Linked DNA regions of Ovis aries. The protein of the gene in region 1 interacts with the protein of each later gene in a biochemical or structural test. Links are inferred from orthologs where the notes say so. Each region holds a gene or a part of one and is shown in the gene's direction. Other genes may lie near its edges.

Evidence for each region.
Region 2: the proteins of GAS6 (region 1) and AXL form a complex in vitro, tested with the Homo sapiens proteins (2 studies listed by BioGRID and IntAct, with this or other methods). The link is inferred for Ovis aries from reciprocal best matches to the Homo sapiens genes GAS6 and AXL.
Region 3: the proteins of GAS6 (region 1) and TYRO3 form a complex in vitro, tested with the Homo sapiens proteins (2 studies listed by BioGRID). The link is inferred for Ovis aries from reciprocal best matches to the Homo sapiens genes GAS6 and TYRO3.

Annotation. Positions count from the first base shown.
Region 1 is NC_056063.1:86,165,808-86,170,072, reverse strand, and holds the start of GAS6 (growth arrest-specific protein 6), read left to right. Parts: upstream 1-1,397; 5' UTR 1,398-1,554; coding exon 1,555-1,627; intron 1,628-1,788; coding exon 1,789-1,955; intron 1,956-4,265. UniProt on the Homo sapiens protein: Ligand for tyrosine-protein kinase receptors AXL, TYRO3 and MER whose signaling is implicated in cell growth and survival, cell adhesion and cell migration.
Region 2 is NC_056067.1:49,992,664-49,995,613, forward strand, and holds the end of AXL (tyrosine-protein kinase receptor UFO), read left to right. Parts: intron 1-466; coding exon 467-818; 3' UTR 819-2,325; downstream 2,326-2,950. UniProt on the Homo sapiens protein: Receptor tyrosine kinase that transduces signals from the extracellular matrix into the cytoplasm by binding growth factor GAS6 and which is thus regulating many physiological processes including cell survival, cell proliferation, migration and differentiation.
Region 3 is NC_056060.1:35,183,867-35,187,510, forward strand, and holds part of TYRO3 (tyrosine-protein kinase receptor TYRO3), read left to right. Parts: intron 1-157; coding exon 158-287; intron 288-369; coding exon 370-470; intron 471-756; coding exon 757-852; intron 853-1,181; coding exon 1,182-1,262; intron 1,263-1,673; coding exon 1,674-1,766; intron 1,767-2,180; coding exon 2,181-2,302; intron 2,303-2,710; coding exon 2,711-2,820; intron 2,821-2,994; coding exon 2,995-3,154; intron 3,155-3,349; coding exon 3,350-3,486; intron 3,487-3,644. UniProt on the Homo sapiens protein: Receptor tyrosine kinase that transduces signals from the extracellular matrix into the cytoplasm by binding to several ligands including TULP1 or GAS6. Regulates many physiological processes including cell survival, migration and differentiation.

The DNA of each region.
Region 1 (4,265 bases):
CTAATAAACTGCACTCCGCTATCTGCACTGTCCTTCTGAGTGAGTTTGTTTCCCGGAACGCGTGGCTGCAACACTGGGAAAATTTAAGTAGCCATACGTCCGTGCCACTGGAATTCCCAGGAGAGAGGAGAGGTTTGAGGGACACGAAACAGCATCTGAAAAATAATGGCAAAATATTTTTCCAAATTCGATGAAAACTGTAAGCTCACAGATCCAAGAAGCTCTGGGACCTCCAATAACAGAATGCCACCAGCGGATTAAAGATCTGGTGTAAATCACGACTGAAGGATTTTCCGCCTCACCCAGATTTTTGACAGCAGCGCTTCTCCTCAGGACAAGCAGGAAGATTAACGTGGTCAATATTCTGTGTAAGCGCCTGCCGTTCCAAGCCGGCTTTGAGTCCCTGCTCGTGGAGTCCCGGCTGACGTGGGAGGCTAGGAACAGAGTGCGGGCTATTCAAGTGTTAATCCTCTCTGTAGCGGTTGGAGGAGCGTCCCTTTCGCTGATATTCACGTTCACTATGCCGCCTTCAGACCTTTGACCTCAAGACACCTGCCACCAGCGGCGCTCATGTCCCGCCAGGGAAGGTGGGGTGGGCGCAGGTGCGGACTGGAGGTCGGGGTGGAGGTCGGTCGCGGGCGCGTGCTCCGGTCTGGACCCCCGAGGCGGCGCCCGCCGGTTGCCCGCCCCGATTCCCCGAGGGGGCTGCTCTGCTTCGGTGTTGCTTGTGTGTGTGTGTTTATTGTGACTTTGCGAAATATTCCAGGACGAGAGACAGAAAGTCGTGGTCTCCCAGAACGAGAGAACGCTGCTTTCGGTTGAAACAGCTACTGGGAGCCCCCGAGGTCTTCCAGCGTCATCGCCGTGAAAGCAGAAAGTACGGAAGCACATCTTCTAATCTCGCTCCCTGGACCCCAGTGGGGCTCGCCTTGACTTCAGTTTCTCCCTCCTTTGGTGGGTGCATAGTCTCGAGAGTACGTGCCCCGGAATGAAGTCTTCGGAAAGGACGCGGAGATCTGGGGCGCGGCTGGGGAACGGGGCGGGGAGAGGGTGGGAGCTGGTGAATGTCCGTCTGTACCTGACAGGCTGGACTCGCGTGACCTCGTCTCCGCGCCCGCACCGCCCGGTTACATAAACGTAACCCGCGACTGGGGCGAAGCTCCCGGGCGCGGGCGCGGGGGAAGGGGGCACTCCCTCCCCGCCTTCGTCCGGAAGACCCGCTGCCCCTCGGGGCTTTGATCTTCCCGAGGAAACCGGCTCGGCCCGCCGGAGAGGCCGGCGCGCCCCGCCCGCCCCGCGCGGCCCCGAGGCCGGTCCTGCCGCGCGCCCCGCCCCCGCCGCCGCCCTCGCCCAGCCCCGCGCGAGCGCCGCGGTGCCGCCGCCGGGATGTGACCTTCAGAGCCGCCCGCTCAGGATGCCCGGAGCCACGGCCCCTCGGCGCCCGAGCCTCGCCACGGCCCCCCGGGCGCTCTGACCGCGCGCGCCCGGCCCCCCGGCCCCGGTCTCAGTGCTGGCCCTCCGCCCCGGCCCCGGCGCGCCCCGCCCCGCCGCGCCATGCCGCCCGGACCCGCCGCCGCCCTGGGCACCGCGCTGCTGCTGCTCCTGCTGGCCTCCGAGTCGGCGCACAGTGAGTACCGCGCGGGCCCGGGGCGCGCCGGGGCCGGGAGACCCCCCCCCCGAGGGCGAGGGGAGCCTCGGCGTCCGCACCCCGCGCGCCCCGGGCCCCGGCGCCGCCGCGCTGACGGCGCGTCTCCGCTCTCTCCCCGCTCCTCCCGCCCGCCCGGGAAGCCGTGATGCTGCGGGCGCGCGAGGCGGCGCAGTTCCTGCGGCCCAGGCAGCGCCGCGCCTACCAGGTCTTCGAGGAGGCCAAGCAGGGCCACCTGGAGAGGGAGTGCGTGGAGGAGATGTGCAGCCGGGAGGAGGCCCGCGAGGTGTTCGAGAACGACCCCGAGACGGTGAGCGCGGGGCCGCGCGGGGCGGCGAGGAGTGCGCCCCGGGCCTTGGGGCCGCGAGCGGGGCGCCGGGGCAGGCGTGTCCCCTGGAGCCGCGCTCCCGCGGCACCACCCTTCAGGGGACCCCCGTCTGCGCGCGCACGTGCGGGAGCCGGGGGTCTGCGGCAAACCCTCCTGCGGGCACACCGACCCTTATGCAGGGAGGAGGGCAGCGGCGGCGGAGGGGCAGGGCGCTGTGCGCCGCCCCAGCCACCCTCAGGCCTCCTCCTTTCGAGCCCCTGTTCGCCCGGTGATGCCAGGTGCCCCTCCGTGGAGGAGGGGCGGCCGATGCCCGCGGGGGGTCCTGTGGACGCCCGCAGCCTCTTACCGCGGCAGGCCTCGGAAGGCAGCCGCCTTGAGGGAAACTGCAACTCTGACAGCTCAGCCAGAAAGCAGTAGGGTCCGGCTTAACGTAAACGAAATAACTGGTTGGAGAGCAGGAACAGCTTCCTGCCTCCCTGCCCCCTTGGCCAGATTAGAGGAGGGGGTGGGGCTGTCCACAGTTCCCTATCTAGCTAGAGGCGGGAGCCTTAGCTTCAAAGACGGAGGGCTGGAGTGCCGGAAGACAGCAGGTCCCGGCAGGGAGGACGGGGAGGGCGGAGCAGGGCTGGCACACGCGGGAGGGCGGGCCAGGCGGCCGCAAGGTGCGCCCTGGGAACCGCGGAGACTGCAGGAGCCTAAGGTGCTGGCTCAGGACAAGCTTCTATTAATAATGTCGTGAAGAACGTGGGGCGACAGGCAGCCGGCCTCGGGGAGTGGCCCTGGGTGCCCTGTGCCATCTTAGGTGGGGCAGAGGCTGGGGTGTGTGCCCGGGAGCCCCCCGCAGGGAAGCTGCTAGAGGGGTGGGCTCACCCTGCCGCGCTTCGCACCCTGAGGTCAGGATGATTTCACAGCTGTCTTTGGCTCTACTGGAATATTTCTTTTAAAGAATTCTTCTGGGGTGGAATAAGCATCTCGTGCAGCAAGCAAATCAGTGTGAAGGCTGCAGGCTTTCACGTTCCTGACTGGCTGGCTTGACCCACCCCATGGTCCCCTCTGTGAAACAAGCTTGATGGCGATGGCCGAGCTGTGCCCTTCCTTGGCCTTGGCACAGCCCGCAGCTGCAGGGCTGAGCTGTGACCGGTGGCTCTCGGTCAGCAGTGGTGTGCGTCGGCCCGTTGTGAGCAGCAGTTCTGCCCCGCCCCGTCTCTTCTGCCTGTCCTGCTGGCCCCCGGGAGCTTGCTCCGCGGAGCGTTTCTGAAGGTCCCATGCGGGCTGTGTGCTGGCTGCCTGGGTTGCTGCCTGGCTACGGGGTGTGTGATAAGTGTGTTCCTGCCAGTCACAGGCCCAGCCTGGAGCGCTGGCTCCTACAGAGCACAGGATGGGGCTTGCAGGTGACCGGGCTTGCAGGTGACCGGGCGGTGAGGCCGCCTCCCCCACCAGCGCTGCTCCTGCAGGACAGAGAGGCCTTGGGCTGGACACACTGCACGCTGGCCACCGCACCCTCCCCAGAGCCTGCCCCGCCCCACTGGAGCTGTTCTCAGGCTTGTTACAGCCGTGTCTGCGCTTCGTCGCTCAGTCTTGTCTGACTGCAGTCCCGTGGACGGCAGCCCCCCAGGCTCCTCTGCCCATGGGGGGTCTCCAGGCAGGAAGACGGGAGTGGGTGGCCACGCTCTGCTCAGGAACCTCCTCTGCAGTGGGTGAGACGAGGGCAAGGACAGCGGCGGCTTTCACGCAGGGCCTTGCGCTCCCCCGGCGTCCTGCCCTCCCTTCCCGGGGGAGCTGCCTCCCACACCCGCCCCATCCACCCCGTCAGGAACGCGTGGGCTCCTTGTACATCCAAGCCGCCTGTGGTTTTTCAGAACCCTGTCCTGCTTCCTGACCCGTCCCCAAATCGCAGTCACACCTTTCCCCTTATCACCAGCTTCCCGGGTGGACCGGTGCCTTCTGCGTTCACTGAGGGGCGGTGGCTTCCGGAGGAGCCAGTTCGGTTTGGGGGTTGGGACTGGTGCTTAGGGGACTTCCTCATGTCCGGTTCTGCTCTGGTCAACCAGATGCCCCGCCAGGCGTCCACGCCATCTTTTCCCTCACATTGAAGAAGTTCTGGATTCCAGGACAGGGGGAGACCCTGCAAACACAACTCACTGCTAATAAGCCTTTGGAAAAGGAGCACGTCGAGTGAGGCAGCCCTGTGGCCTCGCCCATGGGCCCCGGCTCCTGAAAGTCTGGTCTCTCCTGAGGAGCATCGCTTCCTGGCCCTCAGACTCCAGGCTCTTTGTGATCGTGTGTGAGTGT
Region 2 (2,950 bases), on another chromosome or scaffold:
GTTGTGGCACGTGGGCTTAGTTGCCCCGCGGCATGTGGAATCTTCCTGGGCTAGAGACAGAACTTGTGTCTCCTCCATTGGCAGGCAGATTCTTAACCACTGGATCACCAGGGAAGTCCTGAGTTCATATTTTAAACCAACACAGCTTGCAAAGCTTTGATGCTAGAGTCTGTCCTGAGAAGCCATATTGGGAAGCTTTGCTCTAGCAAAACCTCACTAGAACATCACCCCACACCTAGAAAGATTTCCCAAGACATCTTCCAGCTCCTGAGTGTCTGTTCCAGGACTCCCCTTAGAAACTTGTGCAAATTCCCAAATCCCCATAGGTGCCCCCCTCGAAACTGCTACAGTTCCCTCCACTCCCATGAAATGCCCTCAGTCCCGAGTGTCCTAAAATGCCAAGCTCCCAGGAGGCTCCCTGTCTGAGCCCCTGCTCAGTGTCCCACCCCTCATTCTGCTGCCCTAGGTATGCCCTGATGTCCCGGTGCTGGGAGCTAAACCCCCGGGACCGGCCAAGTTTTGCAGAGCTGCGGGAAGACCTGGAGAATACGCTGAAGGCCCTGCCCCCTGCTCAGGAGCCGGAGGAAATCCTCTACGTCAACATGGATGAGGGTGGAGGTCATTCTGAACCACTTGGAGCTGCTGGAGGAGCGGACCCCCCAACTCAGCCTGACCCTAAGGATTCCTGCAGCTGCCTCACCGCCGCCGAAGTCCATCCTGCTGGCCGCTATGTCCTCTGCCCTTCTACAGCCCCTGGCCCCACCCTGCCTGCTGAAAGGAGCTCCCCAGCAGCCCCAGGGCAGGAGGACGGCGCCTGAGACCACCCTCCACCTGGGACTTCCTCTCAGGACCCAAGCTAGGCACTGCCACTGGGGGACCCGCCCCCTACTTTCCCACTCCAGACCTTAACCCCAATCAGAGCCCTCTCTTCCCACCTGTTCCACTTCCATCCCAGACAGATCCTCTTCCTTTTCCACACCTCAGTGTCCCCATGAGTAAAAGAAGGGGATTGGACTGAAATCCCTGAGGGCCCTCCCAGGTCTAACATTCCAAGATTCTAGATTCTAAGGTTTAAAGAGTCTAGATTCAGAGGTTTCAGAGTTTCAGAGCTGAGTCTTTGATTCTAAAGACTTGGAATTCCAGTCTCTAATTCTAAAGTGCTAAGGTTCTAGACACAGAAGTTCTAAGGCCTACATTCTAAGGCTCTGAGATGCTGTGGCCCTAGATTTTTCTGGTCCTGAGATTCTTCATAAAGCCCATGAAATTTTAGGTTACAAAGCTCTAAGATTCTATTTCTAGAATCTAAGGCTCTGTGATTTTAGATTTTATTTTTCTAGGGTTCTAAGTCCTGAGGGTGTAAGATACTAGATCCTACAATTCTAAAAATCCTACAGTTCTAGACATGGAGGTTCTAAGGTCATATGTTCTAAAATTTGAAGTTCTGAGCCTCTTAGAGTATAACTTTTCTGGTTTTAAGACTCCAGATCATAAGCCACAAGATTTGATCTTCTCAAGTTCTAAGATTCTAATGATGGTCAGTGACAGAGTCTAAGGCTTTATGATCCTCGAAACCCTTGTTATGAGACTGTGGATCTTAAAGATCTAAAATGCTAGCATCTGCAATTCAAAAGTTCTAATAGTCTAAAGATGGAGGTTCTTCTAAGGTCTAATGTTCTAAGATGTGATGTTCTAAGGCTTAGTCTAAGAACCTAGAGTCTCTGTGTCTAAGATTCTAGATCATATGCTTCAAGATTCTAGATTATTAAACTCTAAGATTCTAATGTTGTTCTGTTCTGTGTTCCAAGGCACTCTAGATCCTGTTGGTCCAAGATTCTGGATCCTCAGCATCTATGGTATAGATATTCCACAGTTAGTGGTGACAAACTGGATGCCAAAGTTCTAATCATTTTTAATTTTGGACACCTTTAAGTTCTATGCTGCATCTTCTCTTTCTAGGATTTTAGTTAAGGGTCTAGGAATTCATGGTTCTAAGTCTTACGATTCTGAGTTCCAAGATTCGCATGTTATAAGATTCTAAAGGTCTAGAATTCTAAAGTAAAATTCTGAGGTTCTTACCTTATAGTTTTATCCTGTGTGACCCTTCCCTTCTTAGCCACCTCTGCTTCCTCTTCCTTTCACTTGGGGGTGTGCCCCCTCAAACCTGTGCAATGCAATAAAGATGCCTCCTTTCCCCAGAGGACAATATCCCTCTTTTGGGGGCCATATTGCCCCCCGCCCCCGAGCCAGTCCTTTATGCCCCTTGAACAGAGTGTGAACCCTGGCACCTCCAGTGGGGCTCAGATCACATAAAACTTTGTAACCATGCTTCTGTCTCCTCTTGTCTCCACTTGGCTGTCATATGGCCCTTCTCCCAGGCAACTCAGCTTGTGTAAAAAGGAGGGTTTCGTGGGGTCTTGGAGTTCTCCCCTCACTAAAGAGGGTAGATGTGAACAGATTCAAAGACAACAAGGACAGGCAAACAAAGAAAAGCGGACTTGCCAGACTCGACGAAACCCCTAGTGAGAAATAAGCACATAGATACTCACAAGGTCACACAGAGATCCTCCCTATTTCCCAAAGTAACAGACTCTTTTTTTTTTTTTTTACAGACTCCTTAATTAATGGACAAACTCAAGCACTCTTGGTCACAAATACAGAGACACAAATTCAGACAGAGAAACACAAAATTACACAAACATGTTTACAAATATGCACTGGCAGGCGGTCAACCAAGAATAAGAAGAAACTTGAGTAACTAGAGGAAAACAGATACAGACACAAATACTCATATAGAGTACCTAGGGGGCTTCCCAGGTGGCACAGTGGTAAAGAATTGCCTGCCAATGCAGGAGGAGCAAGAGATGTGAGTTCGATCCCCCGGTCAGAAAGATCTCTTGGATAAGGAAACGCAACCTAGTCCAGTATTCTTGCCTGAAGAGTTCCATCTACA
Region 3 (3,644 bases), on another chromosome or scaffold:
TAGGAACTCTTGGGTCTTCCTTTGGAGCCTCTTTCCACTCTGCTCCCTTACTGACTGAGAGGAGCCATTGGCTCAGGCTCATTGACCCTCATTTACAAATTCTAAAGGGTCTCTGTGGTGTCAGCCCAGCTCGTGCTACTGCCCCTGTCTCCCACAGGCCAGCAGGGTGCTCCCCACAGCCGCACATCCTGGGTGCCTGTGGTCCTGGGCGTGCTGACAGCCCTGGTGACGGCTGCTGCCCTGGCCCTCATCCTGCTTCGAAAGAGGAGGAAGGAGACACGGTTTGGGTAAGGGCTGAGGACATGGAGAGAGAGGCCGGCACTGACTGAAGACCTTGGAGCTGACTCCAAGTCCTGGGTCTCCTTTTAGGCAAGCCTTTGACAGCGTCATGGCCCGGGGGGAGCCAGCTGTTCACTTCCGGGCAGCACGGTCCTTCAATCGGGAAAGGCCTGAGCGCATCGAGGCCACATGTAAGTGAGTGGGGGGGAGTCCTACGAGGAAGGAATGGGCTGCCTTGAACCTGCACCTGCCTTTCTCTTACTGATTTGACCAATAGGTCTGAACCTTGCTGAGTCCTAGGCACACCATGGAAAAGACACGTAGACCTATCCTCGCAGAGGTCACCGGCCCAGCTGTGGGGGAGCTAAATAAAGCTTACCTCTGCTTTGAGGGTGGCGTCTGGGGTGGAGGAGGCAGGCTGAGTTTTGGATCAGGACCAGAGAGGTCGCTCCCTTTCTTATGACCGCCTCCCCGCAGTGGACAGCTTGGGGATCAGCGACGAGCTGAAGGACAAGCTGGAAGACGTGCTGATCCCGGAGCAGCAGTTCACCCTGGGCCGGATGTTGGGCAAAGGTATGTGGGGCTGAGCAGGGACTGGCCTGAGCTGCCAGGGCTGGGTGTGTCTGCTTGCTTCCATGTCACTCTGGGCTGTGGATATAGGTCAGCTCCTATAAACAGGATGTGCTCATAAACTCCTGGCTGCTGGACATTTAGGGGAATGGAGGCTGGGGCGAGAAAGGCTGAGGTGTCATCACTCCTAGCTTACTTTGTTTTGCTATGAATGAGGGAGCCTCCTTCAGTGGCCCCAGAAAGTGATACTGTGTCCCTATGAAGGGTCACTGGGGAGGTGGGTGGGGGGCAGGAGGCCAAGGGGACTCACCATTGTTTGGATCGGTTCCTAGGAGAGTTTGGTTCAGTGCGGGAGGCCCAACTGAAGCAGGAGGATGGCTCCTTTGTGAAAGTGGCTGTAAAGATGCTGAAAGGTGAGTGGAGAATATTACTATAGTGGAACTGAGGGTTTCACTTGGGAAGGTGAAAGGGGGCTGATTCTGAAGCAGGCTCTGCTGGGCCCCTTAGACTTTCCAAGATGTGTTAGTCAGTGCTAACTGGGATGCTTTCTCTGCCACGTGAATAATTCCCAGGCATAAACCCACTTTCCTTGGTGCCCCAGCCTCTGTCCTCTGCCTTAGCAGTGACTATCCTCTGGTTTCACTTGGGGTGACTAAAGCTGTGGTTGGTTGAGTGGTTTGGCTGTCCAAACCAAAGAGAAGGCATGAGCGAGTGGAGATGTTGGACAGACCAGCCTGTGGGGTTTCCTCCTGCTCATGACCAGACTGTTTCCCCACGCCCACGGTGGTCACGTCTCCCTCCTTCCCTCCCTCCTTTTCTCCCAGCTGACATCATTGCCTCAAGTGACATTGAAGAGTTCCTCAGGGAAGCGGCTTGCATGAAGGAGTTTGACCACCCACACGTGGCCAAGCTTGTTGGTGAGTCCCTTCTTGAGGGAAGTAAATGTAAAATGAGGCTAAAACTGTGCTCCTCCAAGGTGCTAGGGCAGCCTGTGGAGAGAAGCTCAGACTTGCCTGGTGAGTAAGCAGACACCAAAATAGCAAGGAGGGGCGTGGCTGAAATCTGATCAGGCTCCAGGTAAGGAGCTCAGTTTGTAGACCCTGTACATGAAGACTGCTTGTGTAAACAGGAGGAGGAGACAGAGAAGATGCTCCAGAGATTCTGGGGCAGCCAGAATGACTCCTGGGGAGTCACTGGGCCCAGTGTGGAACTTATGGGGAAAGAGGTAGCAGAGCCAGGGCTAGAGGTAGGACTGGCAGGCGGGGACCCAGGCTGATGCTTGGACTGTCCCTTGACCTTTATGTGCCCCGCTGACTCTCCCTTGTCCCCAGGGGTAAGCCTCCGGAGCAGGGCCAAAGGCCGTCTCCCCATCCCCATGGTCATCCTGCCTTTCATGAAGCATGGGGACCTGCACGCCTTCCTGCTCACCTCCCGGATTGGCGAGAACCCCTTTGTGAGTGCCTGGGGTGGGAGTGGCCAGGGGTTGGAAAAGCACAGAAACCCTGGGAGAGAGGTTGGCTTGGTGGGCAGGGCCGTTTGAGTAGGTTGGGAGAAGGCAGGCTCTAAGTCTGACCTTTATTGCTAACAGGCTTTCTTCTCCCTCACAAATCCCCACTGGGAATTGAGGCTTACCCAGGCCCCTTCCTGGGAGAGGAGCCCCGTGGGGGGCCCAGATTGGGACAGTCTTGACTTTTGGGTGCCCTCCCTCAAGTTTGCCAAAGCTTCCTTGCACTGGGAAGCCCCTCCACTCTCTTCCTTTCAGCAATTCTGAGGACAGTTGTTAGGTTTCCTGGTCAGGGAATCCCTTTCCTCCTGCCCTGGCTAGGTCTGTCCTGAGTTTGCTGTCCTGTCTGCCCACCAGAACCTGCCGCTGCAGACCCTGGTCCGGTTCATGGTGGACATTGCCTGTGGCATGGAGTATCTGAGCTCCCGGAACTTTATCCACCGAGACCTGGCTGCTCGGAACTGCATGTATGTGAATTCTGGAGGGTTCAGGTGGGAGGCAGGAAGCAGTACCAGGAAGAACTAGGCCCCGCCTGGAACAGTATCTGCTCTGTGAGGAGATGGCTTGGGGACAAAGACACCGTGGATTTAGTAAGGCTGCGGCCTGGTGGAAGGCTGACCCCACCCTCCAACCCCTCCCAGGCTGGCAGAAGACATGACGGTGTGCGTGGCTGACTTCGGACTCTCCCGGAAGATCTACAGTGGGGATTACTATCGTCAGGGCTGTGCCTCCAAACTGCCCGTCAAGTGGCTGGCCCTGGAGAGCCTGGCTGACAACCTGTACACTGTGCACAGTGACGTGGTGAGCAGGTGGCGGGGCAGTACTGTGGTTAGTGTGTGGGTGGACCTGGAGCCTCTCCCAGGCCTGGCCCACTCAGCCCTCTGCACTCTGGCTGTCCCAGCCTGAGGCCCCTGAGCCCCAAGATGTGCTTGCTTCGAGACTGCCTGGCCTAGGAGGCCTAGTGACACCTTCCCCCCAACCTCGATTCTGTCCCAGTGGGCCTTCGGGGTGACCATGTGGGAGATCATGACGCGTGGGCAGACGCCATACGCTGGCATCGAGAACGCTGAGATTTACAACTACCTCATCGGCGGGAACCGCCTGAAACAGCCTCCGGAGTGTATGGAGGACGTGTGAGTGCCCGAGGGAGGGGATCCTGGGAGGGAACAGGGGTTTGGGGTTTCAGCGGATGGCTACCACCACACCTGCTGTCCTGGCGGGGGCTGCGACCCTCAGCTGAACTTTTGTGGAAATACCCTTGTCATTAGAGGCGAGTCTGACTTCTACCCCA